Xenopus tropicalis: one gene and its partners. Each later gene encodes a partner of the first gene's protein in a complex. Links are inferred from orthologs where the notes say so. Each region holds a gene or a part of one and is shown on either strand. Other genes may lie near its edges.

The links.
Region 2: tert (region 1) and nhp2 share a complex: the UniProt entries of both Homo sapiens proteins name them as parts of the telomerase holoenzyme complex. The link is inferred for Xenopus tropicalis from reciprocal best matches to the Homo sapiens genes TERT and NHP2.
Region 3: tert (region 1) and gar1 share a complex: the UniProt entries of both Homo sapiens proteins name them as parts of the telomerase holoenzyme complex. The link is inferred for Xenopus tropicalis from reciprocal best matches to the Homo sapiens genes TERT and GAR1.

What each region holds. Positions count from the first base shown.
Region 1 is NC_030682.2:58,814,138-58,818,392, forward strand, and holds part of tert (telomerase reverse transcriptase), read right to left. Parts: intron 3,589-4,255; coding exon 3,393-3,588; intron 2,518-3,392; coding exon 2,331-2,517; intron 994-2,330; coding exon 811-993; intron 1-810. UniProt on the Homo sapiens protein: Telomerase is a ribonucleoprotein enzyme essential for the replication of chromosome termini in most eukaryotes. Active in progenitor and cancer cells. Inactive, or very low activity, in normal somatic cells.
Region 2 is NC_030679.2:47,806,962-47,811,678, forward strand, and holds the start of nhp2 (H/ACA ribonucleoprotein complex subunit 2-like protein), read right to left. Parts: upstream 2,970-4,717; 5' UTR 2,911-2,969; coding exon 2,763-2,910; intron 1,577-2,762; coding exon 1,507-1,576; intron 1,418-1,506; coding exon 1,312-1,417; intron 1-1,311. UniProt on the Homo sapiens protein: Required for ribosome biogenesis and telomere maintenance. Part of the H/ACA small nucleolar ribonucleoprotein (H/ACA snoRNP) complex, which catalyzes pseudouridylation of rRNA.
Region 3 is NC_030677.2:68,656,057-68,660,976, reverse strand, and holds the start of gar1 (H/ACA ribonucleoprotein complex subunit 1), read left to right. Parts: upstream 1-1,951; 5' UTR 1,952-2,012; intron 2,013-4,541; 5' UTR 4,542-4,542; coding exon 4,543-4,735; intron 4,736-4,920. UniProt on the Homo sapiens protein: Required for ribosome biogenesis and telomere maintenance. Part of the H/ACA small nucleolar ribonucleoprotein (H/ACA snoRNP) complex, which catalyzes pseudouridylation of rRNA.

The DNA.
Region 1 (4,255 bases):
TGAGGAATACTTGTGAAGGATACATTTCCTATAAAAGGCTACTAGTGCTATACACATACTCTCTATAATTCTTCTCTCAAGATAATTAATTGGATCCATGCACAGTTTTATTCAGTGATAAACTGGCTTTTACATGTGACTACCGTAGGGTCTACAGCCAATGACTGGCAAGTGACATTACCGTGCATCTCAAGCACAAGACTCTGTCAAAGAAACTGAGGTTAGATAATTGATGTCATTGTAAACAGGGAGGGATGTAAAAGGAAAATATATACATATACCTGTTACTCTCTCACATTACCAAGTGACAAATATAGATCGCTAAGTGTATGATATTTAGTATGAGGACTTGGATGCAACGCCACTCACATAGCACTCTCAACACAGAATAACTTAAGTATTTCAATATGCAGCACTGGAAGCCCTATAAGTGAATTGATACCAATGGAAACAAATTTGAAATAGAAAAAACACCAGTGTCCCAACCTCATAATTCAACTTTTGCTGTGAATATTCTGAGCCCTGGTTACTGTGTCTGCTCAAATACAAAATGTTAAATACAGATGTTTCCTAGGTCAAACTAGTGATGACAGCCCAGCCAATCATTTACTTGTTACCTCTATAAGAGAAGAGCTGCACTGACTCTGTACAGTGTAGCTGGCTCAGAACTAGATTGATAGCTAAAGTTCCTCTCTCTACCATTTAAGTATGTTCTATTCATTATTAATATAATAACAATTATCATTAAGAATTAACTTTACAGGTTTAATGATGGGGAGAACATTTAACAAGATGTTTGTTTTTACTTACCTTCACAAAGTAAAATTTGCCTTTTTCAGCTCTCGATTTTTCAAAATCTAGCACAAATTTTTTCCACTGTTTGTATATATCATCCATGCCAAAAACAGATGAGCCAATTAGGCTGCAATTTCTATTCCATTCATAGTTAAGAACACTAAAAAGGTTTCGAACCCGAGAGGTAAAATGTTGAATCTGCCACATAAAGGAAAAAAAAATTTGAAATAAATCAAAAGGAATCTGTAAAATGTCAGCATTGTTAAACTGCTTAAGGTACTATGGCACTAACAAGGTACTAACATATGGAGAATTAAAGCAACTGCAATACACAATTTACTAAAGCAATTGCAATACACTAGCTTAAAGGAGAAGGAAAGGCTAAGTCACTTGGGGGTGCCAAAATGTTAGGCACCCCGAAGTGACTTAGATCGCTTACCCCGTACCCTGGGCTGGTGCCCCTGTTAGGAGAAAAAAGCACCAGCCCGGGGTACCTGTAGGAAGTGCTTCCTCCTTCCTCTTTCTTCTGCGAAATCCGTCGGCCGGCGCATGCGCAGTAGAGTGAAAAGCCGACTTTGTTGTTTAAGTTCGGCTTTTCACTCTACTGCGCATGCGCACGCAAGCGAATAGGAAGCACTCGCTTCTACCGCGGGCTGGTGCTGTTCTCTCCTAACAGGGGCACCAGCCCAGGTTAAAAGGTAAGCGATCTAAGTCACTTGGGGGTGCCTAAAATTTCGGCACCCCCAAGTGACTTAGCCTTTCCTTCTCCTTTAAAAATGCATGAGGAAAATCAAGAGGTGCTTGCAGTTCTGGAAACAGTGTTTCACTGTTAAATGCTATATAGCTTACTTGTATGCTTTAATGAGCCAAGCTAAAATAGGGATGGAAAATTGTATTACAGAGAGGAGTAAATAAACCCAAAATCATTTTTAAATATGTAAATAAGTGGAACCCTTATTATCAGAGGAAGGTCAGTTGTTCAATGAGATCAGGGAAAAAGCAGAGGTTCTGAATTGTTATTTTTGTCTGTCTACACAACTGAAGAGCCAGCTAATGAAGGCTTCCCTTTTAATATGCCCAGTTCTAGTAATATAGCTACTCATGCATGGGTCACTCGGGAGGAATTTCAAAAGGTAAACAAAGGTCCTGGACCGGATGGTATTCATCCCAAGGTATTAATAGAGCTTAGCTCTGTGATTGCCACTGTAGGTTCAGAAGGTTACTGCTTAAATTAAGGAATACTGGCCTGGAACATATTTGTAGTTGGATAAAAAAAACTGGCTAAAGTATAAATTACAAAGAGTAGTGGCATCTCCTAATTGCTCCAGTGTTGTTAGGGGTCAGTTCTCCTATATATACGCACTGGGGTTTGTTTGGAGGGGTTCAATTTGATGGACTTTTTTTCAACCCAACTTAAATATGTAACTCTATAGTGACAACACATTTATGCAGTGCTTTACAGAAGTTTATGGCATGGGAATGTCATGGGTTTGCAGACACATTGGCAACAAAACACATACACGCACAGAAGATACCTTCTTCTCTTGGTTTTCTTTGCTTTGTTGGCTACCCAAAGTACTGGATACTCTAGATATTGGACGTAGTCCATTTGTTTTTGGTATGAATCTGAGCCTGGAAACCAGTGGAATGTTTTTCCATTGTTGCATCTTTTCTAGTTCATCGCAGGACAATGGACGCAATTTCACCTTCTCTAGATGTTTTCTAAAGAGAAAAATAGGCCTAAATCTGTGCAGGACCTTGGATCTTACAAGATTAGACCTCCCATATGAAATCAGGCACTAAACATTCTCTAACAAACATGTACACTTGCCAACTGCTGCTGTGTTGTTTAAGAAGAGGTAAAAAAGTTGCTGATTTCAGTTATATTTTTACTTACAAAAACTTAAAAGGGAATCATAAATCAAAAGGTGTATAAGACTGAAAAGCATATGTAAAATAAGGCATTTTTCTAAATACATTCTAATTTCCATTTAAGAGATAATATATTCGTTTTGGCATTTACACTGTTGACGTCAATGTTTTACCTTTGTACTGGCTACCTGCCAATTCCTCACTGACTTGAAGTTGTGAAAGATATATGCTTCAGCCAATAGCGGGATCACTTTGATGGACGAATCACAGCACTTCTCACATTGTTTGGTTTGTGGTACTACTGGACATCATAATTTAGAACCATATGCCGGTAATTATTTGGCCGATAAACACTGCGCAGGGCTCTGCACGAGGTGATCCAGTAATATAATCATTCTTTGCTACTTCTCGCCAGAATGCATTTACACGATTGAAAGGCAGCACGGAGCGATTATAATAGTGGCCAGGATGAAATGATAATATTACTGGATCATCAGGTGCACAGCCCTGTAGCGTTTATCAACGATTGAAAGGCAGCACGGAGCGATTATAATAGTGGCCAGGATGAAACGATAATATTACTGGATCATCAGGTGCACAGCCCTGCAGCGTTTATCAACCAGGGATATAATGTAAAATGATGATGTCAGATATCATAGATATTGCATTTTATGATTTCAAATGCAATGCCTTTAAGACTTCATAGTTCTATATTCATAGTTTACCTTAGACCTAAATTTTGAAGTTTCTTCCAAATTCTTTTTCTGTAGAACAAAAGTCTATTCTTCTGAAACATGGTTTCCGTGACAAAAAAAAATGATTTCAGCAACTGTATGACATAGGTGTCCATTAGCCAAAAGATAAATTTGGCAAGGATTCTCTCTCGTAGCAAGTGTTCTGAAGCAGGAACAAAGTGATCACCTGCAGCATGCATAAAAAAGTGTTAATATTTTATGTAATAAAATCCACTGAAAACTGAATAGATGAAAATACGTTAAACTAATAAAAACCTCAGAAATAAAGTCACTTAAGATGGCCATACACAGGCCAATAAAAGCTGCAGATGGTCCGGGTCAGCACATTGTATGAGCCCAACAGCTGTCAATTAGACAAGTATAAAAATCCCTTGGGGCGAAAAGCACATCTGCGCTTCCATGCAGTCCTCGTGGCGATGGCCTGTATTCCATCAATGTGATCTGATATCGCCCACTTCAAGATGGACATGTCAGGGAAAGATCCGCTCCTTTGGCGACCTCACCAAATGAGCCTATGATTAAGTACCATATAGGTACAAAACGTATAAGGCTTTGTAGCATTATGTGTAACTTTTTTGTTTTTACTATAAACTTTTTTGAGCCACTATTTGACGTTCATTTGGAGTTACGGAGTGCCTGCCTTTTTCGTGTTTTGACCTCACCAAATGAGCAGATCTCTCGGTGTATGGGCACCTTTAAAAACTTTACACTTTTTGCAGGTGTAGATCTATTGTCCAAGGGAATTTGTTCTTTTCGCTATCCATGTTAATGAGCAAACCACTGCAGGCTGGGGAGGGGCAGTAGCATGGATAAACCATTCAAAAAATCAAAAC
Region 2 (4,717 bases), on another chromosome or scaffold:
TTGTATGACAAAGGACTAAAGTAAAGAAATCACACTCATTTTGCAGTGACTAGATCTGGTAAATATAAGATGTTAGAAGACACCAGTAGTTTAAAGGCCCATTAGGATAGATTTGTGAAGAATCCCTATTTTTCTCCAATAGTACAGGTATGGGACCCATTATACAGAATGCTCAGGACCTGGGGGTTCTTGGATAAGGGATCTTTCCGTAATTTGGATCTCCATACCTTAAGTGTACTAAAAGATTATTTACTGTATATACTCGAGTATAAGCCAATCCGAATATAAGCCGAGGTACCTAATTTTACCTAAGAAACCTGGAAAAACTTATTGACTCGAGTATAAGCCTAGGGTGGGAAATGCAGCAGCTACTGCTAAGTTTTTTTTTTTTTTTTTTTTTTAACAGTCAGGCAAGTTTGGGAAGGCTAAGGAAGCTGCCATACTAAGTATCAAGTACTTGCCATCCTGCTGTGTGTGCTCCCATCGCAATGCAGCATGTCTCCCAGCACAACTGACAGCAAAGCTTCTATTTGTGAGAGTGCTCAGCCAGAATGGCAGTAGCTTCTGTGGAACTACACATCCCAGGAGGCCATTAATATGTAGGCAGGAGGGGAACATGAGCCGAGCCAGGAGCAAGATAACACTTCCCAAGGGCAGTTATACCCTCACTGTAGCCACATAGTCAGGTGTGTCCCCGATATATATATATAATTTGATATGACAAATCTATCATATCAAATTATATATGAATTATTGGCATGTCTGCTCCCAGGACTCTCCCTCTACCCTGCCATGGTTATGCTTCTGTATATGATTTTTTATCTGGAAACCTGGTATCCCCCATTTTTTTTTTTTTTTTTGAAACAGCTATAAGACCCCTTAGTGCTTTCTAAAAATTCGTTTTTTTAATTAAAATAATAACACCATGTTCTAGCAACTTGTAGGGGGTCTCCTGTACTTCATATCTTCACAAGCAAATCCTTATTACATGTGGAGTGGGCGGAGCTAGAAGTGATCAAGTTACACAGGGCGACCCGCACAGCGCCGCAGTCTCTTCCGGGGCACTGAGTGAGCTAGCCGGTTGCTGGAGCTCACAGCCCCCTCTGCCTGCAGCGGCCGGAGAGGGAGGTACGGGGGGGGGGCGGGATTTGCGAGCGTACGCACAGTGGGCGTGCGTGCACAACGAATTACAAAACCATATACTCGAGTATAAGCCGAGGATGACTTTTTCAGCACATTTTTGGCAACCACTGGTACACACTGAAATGAACTGTCAGTTTAGAAGAAAAGTGAAGGAAAAAGAATACTCACTGATTTGGATGGAACGTATGAATAAGGAATGCCGCGATCCTCACACATTACAGGGATGTGACAATACACCTCAATGGGAAGGGTGTCACCAGCCATTACTACAATCCTAAAAATATTCAGAAGTCAGAACTGTACAGTAAGCTACTATTACCGTGGAGGTTAATTGATGTTTCAGAAAAGGATAAGTGTTCTTACCCTTTCTCTCCTTTGTTGATGAACTTTTGTACTTCCTTCACTCCTCTGCGGATATTCTTTTGTTTTATGGCTGAAAGGGAAAATAGAGGGATCTTTAGGATACATCCATATTGTAGTAATTCTTCCAAAAACCTCTTGAACGGAATGGCATTGTTTATGCTTCTGATTATTACAGTGTGTACATATTTCAGAAAGCGGTGAATTCAAAAACCTCTATTACTGGCAGATTAAGTAAAAGGCATATCTATCATTTAATGGACAAGTATTTATGGTCTTATTGATGAAATGTTTAAGAAAGCAAGTCCTGCATTTTTTGCAGTTGTCCCTTGCAGGCAACCAGAGAGCCCTGCTGTGAGCTCTCTAAATGCTCTAGGCCAGAGATCCCCAACCTTTAATACTCGTGAGCCACATTCAAATGGAAAAAGTGTTGGGGAGCAACACAAGCATGGAAAATGGGGGTGCAAATAAGAGCTATAATTGGCTATTTGGTAGCCCCTATGTGGACTGGTAGCCTATAGAAGGCCCTGTTTGGCTTTACACTGGGTTTTATGCAACCAAAACTTGCCCCCACGCCAGAAATTAAAAAATAAGCACCTGCTTTGAGGCCACTGGGAGCAACATCTAAGGGGTTGGAGAGCAACATATTGCTCATGAACCACTGGTTGGGGATCACTGCTCTAGGCCCTCAGATGGCAGACCTGTGGTGAATCTTAGTGACACTGGTTCACAATAAAATGGAGGGGGGGGTCAAGTGTTCACAAGGGCTCCATAACAGTGCAGGCAGTGCTTTATATGAAGCCACAGTTGGTGGCAGGGTTTATGAATGGGGAAACCTCTCAAACATCCCTTTACAGTGACAGGAAGCAATTAAGCTTTGGCTGACTTTCAGCCGTTATAGTTCTGCTTATTAGGAATTATTGCATATTTTTCATTCATGTTAGCACTAGATTTTAGAAATTATGCCTAAAGCTCACTTTTAAAAGAACTGAACATATTCCTGTGAATTGAGTGTCACTAGCTAAAAGCCTCTACTGAATCCCTGCACAGGATTTCAGCGGAAGTCGAAGTTTATAATCGCTGTACATCGCAGTGACTGTATCCACATTTGTGCGCAAGAAGCCGGACTGACTGCTATCGCTTTTAAAACACATTTCAGACAAGATGCTCCAACAACAATTCACGGGATGTGTTAAACTCTAATTACAGCCCCACCATTCGCCTGAAAGAGCCAGCGGCCATTGAAGTAAGCATGGTACCTTTCTTTACACATTTGTATAGTTTCTTGGTGAGTTTGCGGCCCGCCAGCGGCTTAGCGATGGGGTTTAGATACGCCAACAGCTCATCGTAAGACTTGCTCGGCGTTTCGGGCACTTCCTCCGATTCCTCCTTCTTTGCTTTAGTCATTTCGCTAGATCACAGACGAGCAGGCTCAACGCACAACCACGTGTAACCGCGCACACTCGCACAACTGAGCACTTCCGTGTCCGGTGGGAGGGGCATATGCAAAGCAATCTGTGACTTGCGCTCTAGTCTCTGCGTAAGGAAAACTTCCGGCCATGAATATGCGGTATTGCAGAGAATATTGACTTTACTGTGGTGTATAGTTTGTATGTATGGTTAATATCTATAGTAGAAAGGAAATAAATTAATCATTGGTTAGAGAGATAGTTTCTTTCCAAGGGAAGGACCTAAAGCCCTCTAGTGGTGAGGTAGATACAAGTACAGGAAAGAGTCCAATCTGCAATGATAACGATAAATAATACCCATAATACCGGGACCCTCGTTGCGCTTTAGGAGTAAGGTCCTAAATAACGATAAACTCCAGTCTCTTTTGATATATCCAGCTAATTCTCATCCTGAGAAACACCATAACGTTTTTGTCTGGTAAACAAAATTGCCATTAAAGGGGGTTGTTCACCTTTCTGTTAACTCTTAGTATAATGTAGAGCAGTGATCCCCAACCAGTGGTTCATGAGCAACATGTTGCTCCCTAACCCCTTGGATGTTGCTCCCAGTGGCCTCAAAGCAGGTGCTTATTTATGAGTTTATGGTTAGGAGCCAAGGTTTTGTTGCATAAAACCCAGTGTAATTGGCAAACAGAGCCTTCTGTAGGCTTCCAGTCAACATAGGGGCTATCAAATAGCCAATTATAGCTCTCATTGGCACCTCCGGGAACTTTTTTCATGCTTGTGTTGCTCTCCAAAATTTTTTCCATTTGAATGTGGCTCACGGGTATAAAAGGTTGGGGAACCCTGATGTAGAGTGTAATATTCTCAGACAATTTGCAACTAGTCTTCATTTTTATTCTTTCTAGTTTTTTAGTTTCACTTTTTGTTCAGCAGCAATTTGGTTGCTAGGGTCCAAATTATCTTAGCAACCAGGGAGCTGTTTGAATGACAAATGATAAATGAACAGGAGAGGGCCTGAATAGAAAAATGAGGAATAAAAAGTAACAATAAAAATAAAACTGGAGCCTCACAGAGCAATAGTCTTTTGGCTGCCGGGGTCAGTGACCCCAATTTGAAAGCTGCAAAGAATAAAGGCCCCCATACACGGGCCGGTCCCTTGGACCGATTCGGCAGCTAATCGGCCTGTGTGTGGGCAGAAACGAGCAGCCTGGCCAACCGATATCTGGCCTGAAATTGGCCAGATATCGATCGGCCAGGTTAGAAAATCCAGTCGGCTCGGGGACCGCATGGGCTCGTTGATGCGGTCCCCGAACCGACTGCCCCATGGCCACAAATGTAATCCGATCGTTTGTAGCCACTGTACCCTATAAACATATAAATGGGCAGGGGCAGTTTTAAAGATAATATTCATTCATAAGATTTTGTGAAATCAAACATCCCCTGCTTAGCTCTTTTACTGCTACTACCTGTCAGGCCCAATACCGGGATAAAAACTAGTCAGTTTATGCAAGAGTAATTCTCATCAAGTCTAAGGACTTTCTTACCTGTAATTGCCAGTACATGGATAGAAACTAGTCAGTTTATTAAGGACATTTTCTACCTTAGTAATAAACATAGTAGTAGTAGTAAGTTGGGTTGAAAAAAGACAAACGTCCATCACGTTCAACCATAATGCCTATATATAACCTGCCTAACTGCTAGTTGATCCAGCGGAAGGCAAAAAAACCCCATCTGAAGCCTCTTAAATTTGCCGCAGAGGTGAAAAAATTCCTTCCTGACTCCAAGATGGCAATCGGACCAGT
Region 3 (4,920 bases), on another chromosome or scaffold:
AGAGCATGCCATAAAACCTAGCTAAATAAGAACATAATAGAACTTCAGAAGCAAACACATTGTAAAGCACAAATTGTATTTAAACTAGCAAAGTTGATGCCCGTTGAGCAATTAAAGATGCATATGGAACATTTATTGAGGTATTAAAACTCAAAACAAACCAAATCATAATTGCCCAATGGGGACTACTTTTGACAGGCACAATGTGAGACCCCCAAAGCATTTCATAACTGGCACAGCATGTGGCCCCCAAAGAATTTGACAACAGGCAGATTGTTTGGCCTTCCCAGCATTTTACCACAGGCACAGTGTGTTGCCCTTCCCAACATTTCATTTGCATTTTTTCGACAGGCATAATATATGCCCTGCCCCCCAGGCATTTCTCAATAGGCACAGTGTGTGGTATATGCCCTGCCCCCCAGGCATTTCTCAATAGGCACAGTGTGTGGCTCCCCCAGCAATAACGACAGGCACAGCATGTGGCCCCCAACATCTCAGCAGAGGCATAGTGTGTGGGTCCCCCAGCATTTCACAACAGGCACAGAGTATGGCCCCCAACATCTCAGCAGAGGAAAAGTGTGTGGGTCCCCCAGAATTTCCTTACATACACAGGGTGCTGCCCCCCCCCCCTTCCACATTTCATTGCAGGCACAGTGTACAGTAGACTCCCTCCGCTATACATTTCTTATGGACTGCCTCAATGCTGCCCTATCCCAGGCCAAGCAAAAATACTATAATACACTTATAAATAATAAAAACAATCCATGGTGCTTGGTTACCATATTCTACTCACTTCTTCATCCTTTACCAAATAAATCACTCACGTCTAAACATAGCCCCTGGAACTTTGCTATTTTAAAAGCAAAGTCAATTCTACCCGCAAACAATTTTCTGGTACTTTTCTATCTTTAAAACAGCTGCACCCTCCACTGAAACATCCTTATGTAGAGTTGCAAATGATCTCTAGATGCCAAGGCCAAAGGACACTACCCTGTTCTCATTGCCTGGACTTATCCTCTGCTTTTTGATACTCTAATGCAAATTAGGGATGCATGAATCCAGGATTCAGTTAGGGATTTGGCCAAGATTCTACCTTTTTCATCAGGATTCAGTCGAATCCATGGTCCTGGCCAAACCGAATCTTTAAAAGACATGTCAATCCCAAAACTACATTTTTGCCCAATACAAAAAAAACATAATTCTAGGCAACCTTCCAAAATGAATTTATTAAAGATTTTCAGTGCTTTAAAAGTTATTTGTAAATGTAATTGTCATTAATTGGTCAAGTCCTGTGATTAAGGGCCAATGTCCAAACCTTGTGTACTTTTGTTCTATGTGCGAGTAATTTTGTATATTTAGAAATAGTTATACTATACCTCCACCCCCCAACACACACAGAATTATATCTGTATCTGTATAGCATTTCTTTTCTCCCATTGGGCTAGTTAAATCCATAACCAGTTCAGCTTTCCCATATTTCTTTTAAGTGTGTTACCCTCCCACTCTCTAGATTTGTGCCTTGCTGCCAAAAATAATTGGAGAATTATTACTCATGATTATTTTATCTACTTGCTAGCCCCATCCCCAAAAGATTTTTTACATACACCCAATGGGATTAATTCAACTGCTTTTCGATGTAAAATCCATTTTTAATGGGGTATTTTAGTTCAGCAACTGAGTTCAATTACAATACCAAGCGGTACCATAATTACTGGCTGCTCGGTAATAAGCTAAATATATGCGTTATTTTCTGCGGTGCGTCCAGCTTTGCCTTTCCCTAACCAAATCACAGAAGCTCTCATTGACTCCATTCATTCAGTTCAGTAAATGGACACAAACACGTAAGCGCGTTTCCTTTAATAGCCGCGCCGTTTGATGACGTGAATGCTGTGCGCCCAAGTACGATGTACGCAGTCCACGTGTTGTTGAGTCGGAAGTGGTGGGAACGTGTGCCGGAGTGTACTCTGGGTAGTTTCAGAGTGCCGCATGCAGGAAGCCAAACGCAACTAAAGGTAAATGTAACTCATTGCTTAATTGAGGGTAGATACGATCTGTCATGGTCATTTTAAAACATGCATTTCATTTTATTTGTCCAGTCCAATGATCGTTGAGATGAAAAGTAAGGGTGTACGACTGCTATCCTGGGTTTTAAAATACTGTTCTCTAGCTCGGATCAAACAGATGTTGAGCCTGCATGGAGGGCTGGAGGTTATACTTCCCTGTGACGATATTCTTCCACTCTGTGCTTCACCCCTGATCATTACAGGTCACTAATTCATGTAACATTGATTTTAACATTATTATACATCCAGGCCCTCCAGTGCTATTTGGTCAGATAATATTTTGTCATCCATTGCCTGGATTTAGTATGGGGATCATGGAGTTATGTCATTGCTTATATACATAAGTGATGGGCACATGAAATGATTTTCAACTAATACTATGCTTACTATCAAAGTGTGTCAGGGGGTTGTTTAAAGTTGCAGTTCAGTTCATCTTCATGTAAGCAAATGTTTATGGCAGACAAATATGGGCACATTTATCAAAGTGACAGTGCAAAAACTGTTAAACTTCTGTGCATGATTTTGGAAGCCTCCCATAGGACTCAATGGCACTCTGCAGCTCCGACCTGGCCCAAGGAAAGTCTCCCATAGGGCTCAATGGCACTCTGCAGCTCCAACCTGGCCCAAGGAAAGTCTCCCATAGGGCTCAATGGCACTCTGCAGCTCCAACCTGGCCCAAGGAAAGTCTCCCATAGGACTCAATGGCACTCTGCAGCTCCAACCCGGCCCAAGGAAAGTCTCCCATAGGACTCAATGGCACTCTGCAGCTCCAACCCGGCCCAAGGAAAGTCTCCCATAGGGCTCAATGGCACTCTGCAGCTCCAACCCGGCCCAAGGAAAGTCTCCCATAGGGCTCAATGGCACTCTGCAGCTCCGACCTGGCCAAAGGAAAGCTACGATAACAAAGCTTTAATAAATTCCAAAACTTTCGTACTCGTTGCGACAAATATGATTTTGTCGTACAAATTGTCACAAAGAATGAAAAAGTTGCACAAATTAACAAGAAAATCGCAGAAAATACGCACCGTTCTAAAATTTTGAAAAAATATGAATTTTTAGTATTCAGACTCAATCGTACATTGATGAATGTGCCCCATAATGTAACTAAAATTTTTTATTATTCTGTTCGATTTCCATTTAAATAGTGTTACACTGATCACAGAGGTTTGACATGACTACTTAACTGTGTGCCCAGACTACCTGAGATTCAACAATCTTTTACCCGTTAAAGAAATCATTATTTGGTTGCTTGAATGCATGGCTAAACTGTATGATTTTTAACTGTTTAGGTGACTTCACCTAATGGAAAACTATACCCCCAAGCAATTAGGTCTCTATAAAAACATATTGCATAAACAAGCTCATATGTAAAACCCTGCTTCATCTGAATAAACCGTTTTCATAAAAATATACTTTTTTAGTAGTATGTGCTATTGGGTACTCCTAAATAGAAAATTGCCATTTCAAGAATTAAGGGCTGCCTCCTGGGATCATAAGATTCACAGTGCACACAAACAAGCCAAGGCACACATGTATTCAGTGGACAGTTCTGTCTTTTGCTTCCACACTACTTCTTGTTACAGTTGCATTATTTCTGGTCATGTGATCTCAGAGGGAGCACACAGCCCATCACTAAATGGTGAATCAAGGGAAAGGGCAATATTTACTGATAAGATTCTTTAATAGCCTACTTAGCATATTATAAACTATCTGTTGGTTAGGTATTCATTCTGGGGGGTATAGTTTTCCTTTTAACTTTGCACTATATATTCCCCCCACAATGCAGCAAATATAGATTCTAACTCTGTACTGCACCACTGTAGGATTAGTACATTAAATGAGCTTGCCCCTGCATAGCAAAATGCTACCTCGAAGATAGTATTCTTTGTCAAGCATGGTAATGCATGCATTTTGACATCTGTTGGTAGAAAACTAGGAGTTGTAGTCCAAACACATATGGAGATCTTCGGGTTACTTATTGTTTGGAAGAGTTTTGTCTTTATGTAGTTCAGTGACACAATCTCTATTTAACATTTATAAATACCCCATTTTGCTTATCAATTTGAAGCTGAAAAAGTTCCATGAGACATATAGGTATGAGATGCATTATCCAGAAACCTAATATCAGTAATCAGCATTATGTGGGAATGCCATTTCCAATAGTGTCCAATTTAACAAACAGTTCATCACTTCTCATTGATGGTAACGAGACTCGCATAAATATATGATGAGCACAATACAGTCCTTTTTTTATTTAACAGGCTGCTTATCCAAAAAAACCCCAAGTCTCAAATATCCCAAGTAGCACCTGTACATGTATTTGCATAATAATTTTAATAGTGTCCTATAGGTTATTGGTATGGGTAATTGTAAAGCCACCCTACTGACTGCTTAAAACTGACATATGTTTATTGTTTCATTACATTTGACTTTTATTGATGACTTAAAAATCACTGCTCCAACTATTCTTTCAATAAGGATGTCATTCCGAGGGAGAGGAGGCTTTAACAGAGGTGGAGGAGGAGGAAGAGGAGGTGGTGGTTTTGGAGGAAGAGGAGGTGGCCGTGGAGGTTATGGACAGGGTGGTGGAAGAGGTGGGTTTGGAAGAGGAGGCGGACGTGGAGGCTTCAACAGAGGAGGATATGACCAAGGTCCTCCTGAGAGTGTTGTTGGTAAATATATTTATATGTATATTTTTTTTTCCAAGTCTTTCGACTGCTCTGATTTCCTGCAAAGTTTTGCAATCATAATCATTTTTTTTCTACATCCTTCAGTCACTTTTGTAATTCTTCAAGTATATATCTCTTCTCCAAAGCAGTTTCTAGCTGAAAGCAAATGTCTGTAGTGTCCCCTATGC